Linked DNA regions of Schizosaccharomyces pombe. The main gene of each other region encodes a partner of the protein of the gene in region 3 in a complex. Each region holds a gene or a part of one and is shown on either strand. Other genes may lie near its edges. A codon is read from its position in the direction of its gene.

Region 1 (7,597 bases), 3.5 Mb from region 3:
CTATTAAAATCCCTGGATCTTTTCTGATATTTATATACTGTTAATCTCTTTATTCGACATTGCTTGTGTCTTTCTGTCGTGTTTACTTAATAATCCAACGTTTATCTATCTGTCTTTTTACATTTTTTATTGTTTTTTAAAGCAATTAATCAAGGATGAACTTTTATTCCTTGTTGCCATCTAGACATGATGTTAGCGCGGATAATATTACTGAAAAGTTCTGCCAATTCTGTCTTTGCTGCAATCCCTGGTATGCAGGTGCTGACACGAGGCAATTAGCAAATGCATTCAATATGATTCCTAAATCAGAGGGTCAAAAATTTGAGATTTGGGTCTTATTTCTCCTTGTCCGGCAATACCACCAAAAAATAATTAACTCTTGGTCCAAGCTGGTGGGTTTTCTTGGTGTGGAACGAAAAGATGAACAATCTACTCAAAAAATACAACAGTATGTTGTTCGTTTAAAACGGTGGATGAGTCAAACACATGTTGATGCTTTTTTCGATTATCTCCTGAATAAACCAAATCCTTATTATCTCGAAATTCCTGAAACCCAACCTCAAGTTCGATGCAATGTAAATGTAACTGATGATTTGGTTATTAAATCTTTACGTGCAGGCTTAATGTCTCATCCAGATGTTAACTCTTCCTCCATCTCCACAATGCGCACGTCAACCTCCCCTTCTAACTGGATTCATTCAGCTAGTGCTAGTTTAGACGACAACACTCACAATCTTGGTAGCTTTGTCACAAACCCTCATGCAGATTCCCAAGAATGCCCTACCCCTCAATCCCTTTTAATGAGAGCGTCCCATCACATGTCTGAACGAGGTTCTCAACAAGCACATCAGACAACTCCTCAAAACCATTCTCTCCCACATCCTCCAAATATGTTTGAACCACCTGACGAAGACCATCAGTTACCTTCCGCAGCCAACAATTCACATAACCATGATCACGCTTTTCAAACTGCTGAAGCAGTTGGCGTTGCTGATTCCATTGATCCTGACTGGCATCAATGGCCTGATGATTTACGAGACGTTTCTTCACCCAAAGAAAGTGACGGGTTGAATGATTCTTGGTCTCGACAAACCAATCAAGTAGAAACGGAAAATGTTGAAAATGAAGCAGGAGTCCCTCGTAAACGCGGGCGTCCGCCAGGAGCTCGTAACAAAATTAAACGGCTGAGATCTGAACCATCTGTGTCATTAACGCTAAGTATCTCTTGGTATGAAAGATTTGAAAAGTTGATGCATGCTCAAAATACAATGCTTCGCTCTGCATTTTCACATGTTGCTCGTCTGCCCATGGAAACGGTTTCTCAACTTTTATCACACTATACTGAAACGATATCCCAATATCTTCCTCCCTCCGAAACTTCGCCGATCCCCAAAACTCCCAATTTTAAGTTCATCTCAAGTACTCTTTTAGCCCTGGTCTCTTCTCATTCCGAAATCCTTGAAGCCAGTACCGATCGCTTAATTTGGACCGTTCATCAAGGACCATTAACAGCTACTATATGTCATGCATTCAATTTGGAAAAAGCGCCGAGTATGCACTCATTAGCAGAAGCTCAGATGATTCCCGATGTCCCTATATCTCATTCAAATTCAATGGAGCCTTTAGACACTGTTTCCTCATTAAAATTAGAAATTGCCAAACTGAATGCGGCCCTAAAAGAAAAAAATTTAGAACTCGAAAATTTAAAGAGAAAGATTATGAATGCAGTGTTTGACTGAAATCACGATTCTTCCATGCATGTATCTATTTATGCAGTACACTTTGCGACTGCACGTTCCACGAACTGGTGCAATTTCAAAGTTACAAAATTCTCATGTTCAAAAAAGCATAATTGTTTAAAGTATTTATTTTGTTTTCCTTCTCTTTATTTTATAAAAAGTTTTTAGATATTCTACTGCTAGGTGAGATGGGTTACCATCGAGATAGTTTTTTACCTTTGCAGATACAAGTAAAATAATTTCAAATTGGATTTATCATTGTTTTTATTATTATTGAAAAAATTACCATCTTATTTACTCTCGAAAATGTTATTGAACAAGCATTTTTATGCGTGGAATTTTTGTTGTGACTTACAGAGTAACACTTTTCATTAACCCATAAACTAGACGTTCAATAGAAAATTGGTCAATATAGGGGTGTTTTGTCGATTTTATGTCTGTTAAAGAGTCCCTATCATTGCTTAATTCTATGCAAGGAAATGTGAAGATTGGAAATGTGGAACCGGCCAAAGGGAACGAAGGTTATGTTGATAACGCTGGATATGTCGACTGTACAAAGTCTTACTTTGAAGCCACGAAATCTCTGAAAGAGGAACAGCTAGTATGTGATCCAAAATTTACATTATTGGATTCAATCAGTGCCTTTGAAATTATGGAACCGAAAATGGATAGTGGGATTGATTATCAGCCACTTCGTGTAGATTTTTCACGTGATCTCTCTTACTTGGAAATATTAGCGTTAATGGATTTAATTGTCTCTGCGGAAAAAGAGTGGCATTATGGATCCCCCTTATCAGAGAGCTTACTCTGTAGTGCCCATGTGTTCTCCATTTGCAAGTCGCCTATTTCACAAGTGGGTGACAGTGGCTTCTCCAGTGGTAGCGGAAGGAATACAACTGACATCGTTCTTTTCCCTTTTGTTTTGGCTGTTATTAAATGTTGCGATATTGTTCATCGAGAATTTCTGATGGGAAATTTATATGACGAGGAAGACATTAGTTCGTTTTCATATCACATGTCCTTTCTTCAAAATTACCCCATAGAAAAACTCAATTATCTTTTGCAATCTAGCATCGAATATTTGGCTTCCGAGGTTATAAAATTTTCTGCCGAGTTACGACAAATTATCGAGGGAATTCTCAATAGAATACAACTTCGAATTGGTATTTTACGAGTGTATGAAAGGAGTGATATTAAGACCACCATCGATGCTCTCCATCTGATCAAAAATTTGGTACCCGAGATTCAGAACACGGTTTCGGTAGTTGATTCATCTATCAAGGAGAGCATATTAAAGCAATATTGGGATTTTCGCGTCCAAGCCCAATTAGTTGCTACAGCTCCTGTGAGGAATATTCCTCCTACTGGCATTGAGCATTCTTATCAACGAATTTTGTATTTTGCTGATGATATGCTTTTGATTTTGAATAGCCACACTCTCGCTTCTTCCTTGGCAGTATATCAGTTTTGTTTAGATTTTACGAGATTGAATCGTACTCCAGAGCCTTACGTCCGTTCCTCCCTTCAAGCACTTATCACTGCTAACAATGCAGTTAATCTAAGGGATCAACCTACTTCGTATATGTTAGAATGTATTCGTGAGTTTTCTGGGCTTCCTTCAAATTTTTATAATCCTAACACCCGTACAGTAATCGAAAAAAACTCTATCTCATCAGCCTATGGTCCGCTAGTTGAGTCTTTGATTGCTCATTCAACTAATATCATGGTTGACCTTGTCCGAATTTGTTCCCACAATCCCTGTCGGTTCCGCCGTAATCTAATAAATTTACTTCCTGAAATTACCGTTGCTCATTTTGAAGCTGAAGCGCTTGATTTGAAATTCGTAGCAAAAAGCCTACCAAGTAATGGACCGTTTTCATCATTTATTTACCATGTTAAGCTAAATGCAATTGAGCATATCTTGCTTTCTTCCTTTGAACAAAAACTTCACCAACCATATCAATGGCCCCATTTTTTTGCTGTGCTTGATCATGTCTTTTCTATCCACCAGACTCATTTAGAGCTTCATGGAAAGGATCGTAATACCCCACCTATGGCCAAAACCTTTGTTACATATTTGCATCGAATATTGAATGCTATAAAGGAGACCTATTCTGGCTATTTACTAGTATGTATAAAGCTTATCGCTTCTTTTTTATTCTAACGATTTTAGCTGACGGTGCTTTGTATGCGGTTGAATATCATTAAAACTCCTTCATTTACTCTTGATGAAAAAATTCAAGAGTCATATTACATGGCCCATTATCGTCCTTTAATTAATTTGCGTCAACCCAAGCCACTACTTCGTTCGGAAGCTGATTGCATAATCAAAAATCTTCAAAATTTCTCTACGGATGATTTAATCATCAAATCTAATGAAAAATTCACTGCTGCAAAGAATAGCCTTATTAATGTTATAAAATCCGGTTTTGAACAGAATGAGTTCATCAACCCGTATTTCTTGCAAACCAACTATTTAAAAAATTTATTATGTTGCTGCATTACAAATCTGGTTTCACTTGCAATCTTATCCAAAGATCATAGTGCTAATCTAAAAATAGTGGAAATACCTGGAAATCCGCTCCCAAGTCTTTCACGTACATGAGGTGTTGTTCGTCTTTTATGTTAATAAATCAAAATTATCAAAAGTTAGGTTTTCAATATTTTTTTAATCATTCAATCTAATTATTGCTGACTATTTTAAAAACATTTTCCTAAAATCATCGTTGCTTTTAGGTGCATCTATCTGCATTTCTTTATCGTCTAAATCGTCCTTCTTAGAATTTATATTGGAATGATTGGAATTGAAACCTTGAAACGTTCGGCTTCCGAGTCGCCGTGGGCGTGTAGCAGAGGTATTGTAATCGGAATGATTCATACTAGATGGGACATTGTGCATCATTTCATTGACAGTGGTAATGTGTAGTAACCTGCCACCAATTTCATGTCCTTCTAATGCCAAGGATGCCTTTCCCGCATCATGAATATCCAAAAACTCTACTACAGCACCTTCATGTTCAGGATGAAGAACAACTCTATACAACTTTCCGTAGCTTTCGAATAAACTTCTAAGTCTAGCCTCGTTAACAGTCCCGTCGACATTAGTGACTCCTAGGCTTTTGCTTTTGATTTGTTCGAATGATTTTTTTGGCGTTGACATTTTATTTGACTCAGTAGTCTCAAAGCTTTTAGCTAAGGTTCGGTTGTCATTGGATGATACCCTTGTTTTCTCTAGAGATTCTCGAGGCTTCGACAAAACAACGTTCAAAACTCTATTTCCCAATTGCTTTCCAGCAGCAGAAAGTGCATTTTCAGCATCTTGATTTGTAGTCATTACCACATATCCAAAACCTTTATGTTGATTAAATCTTTTCGGTATTCGAACACTCTCAACCTGCCCATAATCCCTAAAAAATGTTTCTACGTCTTTTTCATTTACTTTAAAATCAATATTTGTAACGTAGAGTTCTCTACCCTCATAGACAGCACCGCTTCTAGGAGTTCGCCGAAGCGGGTCTGATATAAAGACTTGAATAGGATACTTCTCTTCCAATAGCTTCTTATGTAACTGCAGGGCATTGTGTGCCTCATCGGGCTTTCTCATTTGTACATAACAAAAACGCCTGTTCGTGTTATACCTTAGACTAGGAAAACGGACGTCAACCACATTACCATATGCAGAAAATAATTTGGTTATATCTAATTCATCATAAGTCGGAGGAAAATTGGTAACGTAGAGGTTCGTGTCTACATGAATTTGAACAGAAATTTCATGACCCCTTATCGATTTAAGGTCTCTTGTTTTAGCAGCAAGAACTTCACTGGTTTCAGAAAATTCAATCTGAGCCACTTTAACATCCTTTTGATTGTCTTCGAGGATAAAAATGCGTATAATATTACCACAATCTTTGAAAAAAATTTTCAACTCATTTTCGCTTATATCGGAAGGTAGATTGGTAACCAAAACTGTAAGTTCTTCCCTATTCCTGTGTTGCTCAATAGGTTTCGACTTTTTGAACACATCACCTTCTTGCCCAGGTTTTCTTTTCTTTGAAAGGGCGGCTGTATCATCAGCTTGAGGCACTTTTAGTGGTTCGGTGTTTTCGACAGTCTGCTTCGTTTCTTCAGCAAAAGAATCCAATTGACGTTTGAAGCTAATCCTCTGTGCATTTAAAACGTCATATAAATGTGATGTGTTTGTGAAACAGTCATTATTAAGGTCCATAATGGATTGATAAAATTGGAACAGAAGTTGAGGCTGATCAACGTTTTTGTAAAGGCTTTTTTTTAACGTCTCAGCCGCAAGCTCTGGGTTATACTTCATCGTACTTATGTATCGAGAAATCCAATATAATGCCTGATTTTGAAAATCATGAAACATATCAGACCAGCACTTTTCTACGCTTTCAAAATCAGAGATTTCTGAATATAAATAAATTTTTGAAAGTTCAATGCGCATTCTTGCATCCTTTGATCCCTTATGATTTTTTCGCAAATAGTCTTCGACTTTATGAATTTGATGTTTCAAAAATTCCTGTGGCTTATCTTCATTAGAAGACAAATATAGGCATGCTTTTAAAAATCCGCTAAAAAAATCAATAACCTCGTCAAAATTTACGAGCAAATTTGAATTCAAACATCGATCTTTCTCTTCACAGACAGCCGATGTGGATGCTCCAGAAAGCGTCATATAAGTCAGTTTAATGGACCAAATACGCCCAATCCATGAACAGTTACGAGTAGCTCGTTCTGCTACACTGGACGCTTGAGAAGAAGAAAAATCCACTTTACTAAGCCAGGCAGTGTATTGCAACCAGAGTTCCGGAATGAGGGGATACAAAACTATGGCACGCTCATAGAGAGTTGTTATATATTGTAACTCAGCTGTTGAGCGTCGCGATTCATCATTAATTAAATCCATATACGCTTCGAGAGAATGATTTGCGCTGTTTAACAATAGTTCTTTATTAAAAATTTTTGCATTTCTTTTAAGTGTAGTCTCATACACTTTATTGCTTTTCACCATAACATCCTCATATTCGGAAGGAGACCAGTTATTTGTGACAAACGTTGATAAAGAAGTAAACGTTTCTTCAATCTGCTCATGTGGAAGTTTTAATCTATCAATATGAAAATCATATATCTTGTTTTTAAAAACAATTTCTTGCTCTTCTTCTCCCTCAAATAGAGCATCACCGAACGTCTGTAAAAATTCCAAATATAACGTCCAAACACATTGACTCTGTAAACATTGATTAGTAAATACATTTTTATCATGAAGAAAATTTTTAGTTCCTTACTTTAGAAAAATGAAATTTGCAAGTTTGGTATGCACGTTCAAAAAGAGAATGGGCATCTGTCAAAGTAATAACGCCGTTTAATTCAGACTGTTCTTGTTCAAAAGAAGAAGTGTCCATTAAGTTTAGCGTAAATTCAAGATACATACACCAAATTTTGATTGACAGATAATCTTGAACTGCCAAATCAAACAATGTTTTTATCCTCACATAGTCGTCTAAAGTCCTACAGTTTTTGCACTCATCTAAAAGGTAATCTACCCACAAATCTAAAAACCATTAATAAATGCTTGTCAAAAGATTAACAAAGTTAAAGTAATTAGTGAATAATTTTTGCGAGTCTATGGAATTCGCCTCAACACGCTTTACCTAGACGATTGTTGATTGACATACCTTCTGAAAGTGGAAAGATCGATTGAAAAGTCTTTCTAGCCTCTGACAACTCCTTCTTTTTATCTAGACGCTTTAACTCTTCAATGAGTTTAATATGACTATCATAATTATAGGGATGTAAAATCGTAAATTTGGTCAATTCATCCAGAAGCAAAGGCTTTTTTTCGT
Region 2 (2,962 bases), 2.3 Mb from region 3:
AAATTGAGGCTTTTAGAAGTATTTCTCAAAGTATTCAACTCGAAAAGATTAATTATATGACCATTATTTAAAAAAGGTGTAAGAATGGACTTTGAAATTGAAAACGAGTCGGAAATTCCACAGCTGGTTGACGTTGAAGAGGTTAACACACAACCGCATTCGGAAACATTAAGCGTACCTACGGTTTCGTCCAATAATGATATTGATTCATTTGAGCAGCAATCAGATTTTCTTCTAGTTGATCATGACTCTACCTTGGACCCAGTCCCTGTCACAATACTGACGGGCTTTTTGGGTGCCGGTAAAACTTCTTTGCTACGGTCAATTCTTGAAAATCGAAATGGTAAAAGGGTTGCTGTATTAATGAATGAGGTGGGTGATTCGGGAGACCTTGAAAGGAGCTTAATGGAGGATGTTGGAGGAGAAGAACTTTATGAAGAGTGGGTGGCTCTTTCAAATGGGTGCATGTGTTGCACTGTGAAAGACAATGGGATTAAAGCTTTGGAAAAAATTATGAGGCAAAAGGGGAGATTTGATAACATTGTAATTGAAACAACGGGTATAGCCAATCCTGGTCCTCTTGCTCAAACATTTTGGTTGGACGACGCGTTGAAAAGCGATGTCAAGTTAGATGGCATCGTTACTGTTATTGATTGTAAAAATATAGATAATATCTTAAAGGATGAAAGTGATATTGGTTTTATTCAAATTTCACATGCTGATTGTTTGATCTTAAACAAAACAGATCTTATTTCTTCTGAAGCATTATCTGTGGTACGTCAAACTATATTGAAGATCAATTGCTTAGCGAAGATTATTGAAACAACATATGGACGGTTGGATGACATTTCTGAAATTTTGGACTTGGATGCATACGGCAACGAAAATACTTCTAATCTTGAGTGGTCGATTCAAAGGAGCAATGATAGCAATATTAATTGTTCTACTTGTTTGGACGTGGATTGCCAACATTTGCATTCTCTCGATACGCATAGCCTTGATATCTCAACTCATACTTTTAAACTGCCCCCACTAATGTCGAAAGAGGTTTTTCAGCAATTTCTACAATGGGTTCGTCATACACTTTGGTCTTGTTTGGAGGAAGGGGAAGACGAGGAGTTTATGATTTATCGAAGTAAAGGAATTTTTAATAAAGACGATGGCTCTTGGTACATCTTTCAGGGTGTTCGCGAAGTATTCGAAATTATGCCGCTGTCGGAGAAGCCTCGAGCATTTTTAGAAAAGGATATCCATCCCGAAATTATCCTAATTGGGCGTAATCTACATCGAATATCTCCTTTCGTCGTCGGAAACCAATAATGGCAGTTATTTTATATTTCATTTTAATAATGTATATTGATATATGTTTGTTGAATTAATTTTAAATGTACGCAATAAAAAGCTTTTATACTAAATTATTTTATATAACACTCAATATTATAAATGTCATATCATTGACATAGATGTAACAAATCCAAGCAAAAAAGCCAAATTATAAACTTAATTTATACTGGCCTACTCGTTTATTCATTGTTTATAATACTCAGTTTAAGAACCGCATATAACGTTTTAACGCTATATCTGTAATTTCGACATTCGTCTTAAAGCTGTTGATATATACAGCTCTGCAACCGTTACAGACCCTAAATTATATCTAGAAGAGAATGGTGACAATTGTCCCATACAGTCACCAATATTTAAAAGATATATGTCAGCTTATTCAAAAAGATTTGAGTGAGCCATATAGTAAATATGTGTATCGTTATTTTGTGCACCAATGGTATGTTCCCATTTCATTGATTTCTCAAACTGCTTCTTGCATATTATGAAACTCGGCAATATCATTATAGTTTACTGACAGATTAAAGGCCAGAATTCAGTTTTGTTGCTTTAGATAATGATCGATTTATTGGAGCTGTAATATGCAAACAAGATGTTCATAGAGGGACGACGCTTAGAGGTTATATAGCAATGCTGGCCATAGTAAAAGAATACAGGGGACAAGGAATCGCTACTAAATTGACTCAAGCTAGTCTGGATGTAATGAAAAATAGAGGTGCCCAGGAAATTGTTTTGGAAACAGAGGTGGATAATGAGGCAGCCATGTCTTTTTATGAAAGACTCGGGTTTTGTCGCTATAAACGTCTTTATCGTTATTATTTGAACGGCACTGATGCATTTCGATACATCTTGTACCCGAATTGAAAAACAATGCTACAAAATAAAATCGCGGCATTTTCTATGCTCTAAGAAAATTTGTTTCCACTTGTCGCAGTATAAGTGAAAGTTTTAAAGTTGTTCCAATCTATTTATTTTTTTTTATTTTTTTTCTTCTACTGATTAATACCATAAGTAATTGTCATTAGTCGTCACTGTAGCGTAACTCCGTAATTATAACTGTAATAAACAGTGTTTACATTGATTCAAAGAAATTGTACGGATGTTCATAAAAATAATATCATTCCATTAAATGTAAACTTCATTAATAGTAAAACATAAAGTCTACAGCTGAATAAATAAAGAAGCTTCAACGTAAACTGCTAACTCTCCAAACAAACAATCACCATTCATTAAAAGAAATTAGTAAAAATACAATCATTACATGCATTAGTGGCTCAAATTGCCTTGCTAGCAAATTGTTAACACTTCTTATAAACATTGTCCTTCATTTTGTATGACAGAAAAATAAACCATTAAGCCATTGAGACTTGCTTGGTTGTTTCAAGAACTGACTCTCAATTTCATTAACGAAGATCCCTTCTAGGTGCTTCCGTATTAAATTGTTCGTAAAAGCTGATGCGAGAAAGTTCTGGTTTATTTTGAATTAGAGGGCTTATTTTACGTGATTGTACCAAAGAAGCGACAGACTCATAAGGCGGGTTGTCCTGGAAAACAGCGTAACTACAGACGTACCCAACGCCTTCAACGTTTATAGTATGTTCTCTGAAGAAATCCACAATAT
Region 3 (4,941 bases):
TTTCGCTGCACCCGATTGCTGTATATTGTATTTCGCCCCTGTGACCGTTAAGATTTTGGTCAGACTGAGTGCAGCTTTCGGGGTGCAATAGTAATGCCAAAAATTCAATGGCGTGACATGCGATAATATCGAAATTTCTGTAATGTAAAGCGACTCAACTTTTTCCTGTTCGACAAAATTTGATCATAGGGGAAAAAACGAGATGAAGTTTGGCTATTCATATAACGATGAATTTTATGTGCTGGAGGGAGCTCGGTTGAACCTATTACCATAAGTATTTTTTACAAACACATAATTTTACTGTTTCGTAGCACGGTCTATTATTGTAGAAATGTTTTAACCTTTATAAGCGAGATAAAACAGTCAACTCGTTACGCAAACTTATCGACACTTTGCGAGAGTTAAAGTTACCAAGCTTTCCTACATCGCTGGTTGGAAAGACATAGTTAAAATGAAGCTGGTTTGCTGGCTTTCAAAATAGGAAGATTTCCCAATGTTTTAGTATATAACCGAGATCGCTTAAAATACTTTACTCTGATATCAACAACTCTATGTTCATATCCGTTATCAATCAACAGGGAATTGAGGAACCGTAGCAGTTTTTGTTAAAGTAGAGAAAATGTCAAGTGACCCATAAACTTGTAAATTGGAGATGAACGAACCCCTTAAAAAACCCATTAACGAAACGATTCCCTCTTTTTTTCTCATACAATGAGTTCTTAATAATAAAACTCACATGACAAGTCGGTTCATGAATTCACTTTACTTTGCACTAGACTGCTACAATTCCCTCTCCTTGAAATTTCCAGTACTGCATTGGGACGAAGTTGCCTAGTGTCTTGCCGTCGAAAGGCAGTTTTTGACTCGGCAAGCTTAGAACGTTTTCATGAAACTCTATCAATTGCATAAATGGATGCAAAGACAAACTATTCACGGCATTTGTTTAAACTATTTTTGGATACCGCGATGTAAATAGTATGTATACGGCCTTGATATCCTACTGTACCAACTGTATACTAAATAACGATGCGAAGCGTAGAGGGTTGAAATCAGTAGGAAAAAATACCTACTTTCTGGATTATAATTTCAACCATTCTTTATGAGAATACATTCATGTTGTATTTAGGATCGGTAATTATAGTAATCTACCTTCTCTTTCATCAAAACACACTCTTCAACATGCTAAAAGATCGATACAAAATAAAATCGCAAATGGGATAGTCCGCGCTATGTTATAGAGCATTACGTTGCCATTACTCACCCCACATTCAGTTACTCTATTATACGTAGTTTGTGATACTTAAGGTGATATCGTATACTATGTAAAGACATGCACCAATTCCGTTGTTTAAAATACCAATGTTAATTGCACAGTTTTCAATTCTCCCTAATGTTACGCAGTTTGGTATCTGATTTAAGGATACGGAGAACTGCGGTGAGTTTTCCTTATGGTCTATTTATATTACAATACACAGGTTGTATAAGTAGCAACTGAGTATAGGTATTGTATTAACTGGGTTATAATGTTACCTATCACTAATATAGCTCATAACTGAACTGAGGAACGAGGTTCAGTTGTAACGCTATTTATAATATTTCTAAATAGTTGTTATTAACGGGTATCTATGTATATAGACGGATAATTACCCGTGATTATCAATAAACGGATCTTAGCTAGTATTCCAACATATGACATATAGTGATACGCAACGTAGTGTATCATAGCATAGCGTTATATTAATGGCACTACATTACTTTTTACAATACGATGTTCAAATTTTGTGCATTGCGTTAATGTTTAGTATTTTCAGAGTATGTATATCCACTGCTATTGATTTCACTTCCCCCAAGCTTGATGAATTTTCCTTGATCATGGAAAATGGAGAGATTTTACTGACCAGCTGGCTCAATCGGTCAGTTCATATTGAAATTTTTGATGAGAGAAAATTCATCGGAAAGTTCTTGTGCACTGACAGAGAAGGCGCTGCCATTCTCTCAAATACCACAGAATACAACAAAGGTAAGATTGATATGTGTTCATGAATAGCGCGTCCCTCAAATTCAAGTAAACTTTCGCTGGGTTACTGTTTAAATTGAAAACAAACGTTCCAGCTAGTACCTCTTTCTGTTTTTCACCAATTTCGTCAAAACTAATATAATGAAATCAGGCTTCTCTAGAGCTTTGGGTTTAGTGGTGATTCCAGGAAAGCATATCAAAAGCTTCTCCGTACGTGCCTAAAGCACCCATAAATCTCCTTAACATTTTCATCTCACTTACGTATGTATGTATATATATATATATATATATATTGGAATGAATTCAAAAACGAATATCGCCAGGGATAATCATTACATTCGTACAGATTAAAAAACGCCTATAATTAACATTACAATCTGTACCACTCGTGATAGCACCTCAGTGATAATGATTACTGCAATGAGCAGTCCCTATTTTTGCTTCGCATCCATTTTAACAAATATTTTTTTATTTATTTATAAAAACGAAAGAAGAACATGCTTTCTATGTTAAAATTGACTTTCTGATTTGGGAAAAAACAACAATTGAAACATATCTTCATAAACTAGATGTGCATCAATCAACCTTATCCCGTTTTTCCCATTAGACAAACGAAACGAGATAAATATTAATAAAACAAATCATCATCTATCATGCCACTCATCTGTCGTTTATCTTTAAAGCCCTAACAGATCATCTGTTGCCGATCTAGCCTTTACAGGTTCAGCGTTATTTGTGCTCGGTGCCTCAAAAGCCATGAACAAATCCATTGCACTATTTGAGCCCGACTGAGGTTGTGCGCTGGTTATTGGAGAATCACTGGCAGACGTTGCGCCTGGATCAGTAAAATCAAGGTCAAGCAAATTTTCAACGTTGGCTCCTTTTTCAATAGCTTCATGAACATTGGCTTCTTCAATGTTCAATTCTTCAACAGCTCGACGCTGTATTGCGTCTGCGCCAAACTTGCCCTGGCCAATAAAGGATTCCGGTAATTTATGGTATACAGAAGCAAGAGTTGTGATTTCACACAACAGAGCATCCAAAAGTGCCTCAGGTAGATTGTTATTATAAGATACGGAAGGCTTTTCGCAACAAACAATTTTTTGAGCTTTACGAACATTTTCAGGTGTCAACAACCGCTGATATGCAAAGGCACGATCCCTTAAATCCTGATTGCTTGATTGATTAATTGCATAATTTAATACTTTCTGTACGAGTTCTTCATCGTTTCCTTTGCCGTTCATCAAACTCAATTTTACAACAGCCGTCAGTAAAGCCAATTGAATCTGTAAATCTTCATCCGCCATAGTAGAAATCATTTCGGATAATAGTTTAGAAGAAGTAGGTATAACGTGTGAAAATTCCCCTAAAATCCAAGCCATACTACTACGGGCTCTAGGGTCACCAAGCTCCTCAATGACACGAGAAAGATATGGAAGTAATAAGTCAATCTTTTGAGGGTATTTGCGCAAAACCGTTTCCATCACCACCGTGACTTCTTGAACCATATAACTAATATTTAACTCATAGATTTCAAGAAATATGGAGATGCAATCATTGATGACGCTTGGAACTTTCAATGCAACGTCTCCAAGGCATTTAATCGTTTGTTTCACAAATTCTAGTTCAACTTCGGAAACGTACGCTCGAAGCTCGGAAATGGTCTCGTTAATGTTTTCGTCACATGCAAGCATTGTAATTATCTTTAGTTTCTCCATTTTAATATAAAGAGGATCATTATATTTGCAGAAAAAAACCCGAGTTTTGACATCAAAAATAGAAGGCCTCTTTTGTAATATTAAATTAATGTTCCGTAAGGCTACATACTGGATTTCTGAGTCCGTAGAAAGTAGCGTCAAAAGAGGAGGAGCCATTTTTTTGTACAGAAAGTCTGTAAAGTCACTGGAAAAGAGAGGGATATGTACCATTATGACTTTCACAGCGGACAAAACGACACCACTATTTGCATGTTGGAATTGAGGAACCACCCTTTCACAAACATATTCAGCTTCCTTGATATCAGAAGTGCGAAATCTAGCTAAAGAATTCAAAATAGTAATCCGACCCCACTCATTACACTCACTCAAAGCAACCATTAGCCTGTCTGTCATCGTGTAAACTACATTAAAATATCCCTTTTCAGGGTCCTGATCATGAATTTCAGCAAGTGAGCGGACTGCATTAGCCACAACCACAGGATTCGGATCAGATACCAACGCCTGCAATTGTTCGATGAAACCATTTGATGCACAGTATTCTCGATCAAGGTCATACATCTTTACAACACAAACCGCTGCAGCCTTACGAACATAGGGATGCTCATCCTTCAAAGCTTTTCGCAACGGATCTGCCAAATAGCCAATGATTTTATTTACCCGAATGCAACCCATAGTTCTAATTGCCAGAGCTCGTAAAGTAGGATTATATTCCTCAGAATCCTTTACAAAAGTATTAACGGCTAAAATACAAAGATCAGGGTGTGTTTTGGCATAGTTAATTAGATATAAATAAACCAGTTTTTTCAAGGTGATATCGCGAGTAGCTAGGTTCTTTAAAACATCGGGAAACAGACTAGACACATCCTTGCCAACAGTCATTGCGGCAATAGTCCGTTTCACAGCATCAATTCTCTCGTAGGCATACTGAGAAACTAGTCCCTTTTGTAATTCACTTGTTTCGCTTTTTTTAAATGCCTTAAAACGGCTCGATTGAAACAACTTTGGAACCATTCGGTACTATTGTATAATTCCGCTCTTTATGTAGCTCTTTTAAAGGTGGTAAACGTCCTAAGGTCAAAAACACGTTTACATATATAAAGCAGTGGTTCAATAATCATGTCAAGTCAAACCCATTCGGTGAGAAACACCCACTCCCAGAAGTAACAAAGGTGACAATATCGAATACTGAAATCCAATTTCTATATA

What was found.
Region 1: the proteins of naa38 (region 3) and naa35 are in contact, whole or in part, in a cryo-EM structure (PDB 7L1K), measured with the Schizosaccharomyces pombe proteins. Residues at the interface, in NP_595273.3 of Schizosaccharomyces pombe: Gly4 (codon at 1,882), Glu5 (codon at 1,885), Leu7 (codon at 1,891), Leu8 (codon at 1,894), Thr9 (codon at 1,897), Trp11 (codon at 1,903), Leu12 (codon at 1,906), Asn13 (codon at 1,909), Ser15 (codon at 1,915), Val16 (codon at 1,918), His17 (codon at 1,921), Ile20 (codon at 1,930), Asp22 (codon at 1,936), Arg24 (codon at 1,942), Phe26 (codon at 1,948), Ile27 (codon at 1,951), Leu31 (codon at 1,963), Cys32 (codon at 1,966), Thr33 (codon at 1,969), Asp34 (codon at 1,972), Arg35 (codon at 1,975), Glu36 (codon at 1,978), Gly37 (codon at 1,981), Ala38 (codon at 1,984), Ala39 (codon at 1,987), Ile40 (codon at 1,990), Asn48 (codon at 2,014), Lys49 (codon at 2,017), Phe51 (codon at 2,171), Arg53 (codon at 2,177); in NP_596720.1 of Schizosaccharomyces pombe: Ala35 (codon at 2,275), Gly36 (codon at 2,278), Tyr37 (codon at 2,281), Val38 (codon at 2,284), Asp39 (codon at 2,287), Cys40 (codon at 2,290), Thr41 (codon at 2,293), Ser43 (codon at 2,299), Tyr44 (codon at 2,302), Phe45 (codon at 2,305), Ala47 (codon at 2,311), Thr48 (codon at 2,314), Lys49 (codon at 2,317), Ser50 (codon at 2,320), Leu51 (codon at 2,323), Lys52 (codon at 2,326), Glu53 (codon at 2,329), Gln55 (codon at 2,335), Leu56 (codon at 2,338), Val57 (codon at 2,341), Cys58 (codon at 2,344), Asp59 (codon at 2,347), Phe62 (codon at 2,356), Asp66 (codon at 2,368), Ser67 (codon at 2,371), Ala70 (codon at 2,380), Phe71 (codon at 2,383), Glu72 (codon at 2,386), Ile73 (codon at 2,389), Met74 (codon at 2,392).
Region 2: the proteins of naa38 (region 3) and naa30 are in contact, whole or in part, in a cryo-EM structure (PDB 7L1K), measured with the Schizosaccharomyces pombe proteins. Residues at the interface, in NP_595273.3 of Schizosaccharomyces pombe: Cys32 (codon at 1,966), Thr33 (codon at 1,969), Asp34 (codon at 1,972), Glu36 (codon at 1,978), Ala38 (codon at 1,984), Ile40 (codon at 1,990), Val59 (codon at 2,195); in NP_596246.1 of Schizosaccharomyces pombe: Lys13 (codon at 1,701), Ser28 (codon at 1,746), Lys29 (codon at 1,749), Tyr30 (codon at 1,752), Arg33 (codon at 1,761).

The regions. Positions count from the first base shown.
Region 1 is NC_003423.3:4,131,547-4,139,143, forward strand, and holds naa35 (NatC N-acetyltransferase complex subunit Mak10), read left to right. Parts: upstream 1-2,112; 5' UTR 2,113-2,172; coding exon 2,173-3,867; intron 3,868-3,912; coding exon 3,913-4,344; 3' UTR 4,345-4,434; coding exon of another isoform or gene 4,435-6,981; 3' UTR 6,982-7,039; downstream 7,040-7,597. Other genes in the region: ARS-binding protein Abp2, read left to right, coding at 156-1,739; RNA-binding protein Prp24, read right to left, coding at 4,435-6,981, 7,040-7,305, 7,430-7,597. UniProt on the Schizosaccharomyces pombe protein: Component of the NatC N-terminal acetyltransferase.
Region 2 is NC_003423.3:3,020,769-3,023,730, forward strand, and holds naa30 (NatC N-acetyltransferase complex catalytic subunit Naa30), read left to right. Parts: upstream 1-1,629; 5' UTR 1,630-1,664; coding exon 1,665-1,780; intron 1,781-1,868; coding exon 1,869-2,205; 3' UTR 2,206-2,362; downstream 2,363-2,962. Other genes in the region: zng1 (nucleotide-binding domain-containing protein CobW/HypB/UreG), read left to right, coding at 85-1,320; autophagy-associated protein Atg9, read right to left, coding at 2,745-2,962. UniProt on the Schizosaccharomyces pombe protein: Catalytic component of the NatC N-terminal acetyltransferase.
Region 3 is NC_003423.3:674,889-679,829, forward strand, and holds naa38 (putative NatC N-acetyltransferase non-catalytic subunit Naa38), read left to right. Parts: upstream 1-1,848; 5' UTR 1,849-1,872; coding exon 1,873-2,020; exon of another isoform or gene 2,021-2,168; coding exon 2,169-2,239; 3' UTR 2,240-2,694; downstream 2,695-4,941. Other genes in the region: AP-1 adaptor complex beta subunit Apl2, read right to left, coding at 2,695-4,746. UniProt on the Schizosaccharomyces pombe protein: Component of the NatC N-terminal acetyltransferase, which associates with the ribosome to acetylate nascent protein chains in a cotranslational manner.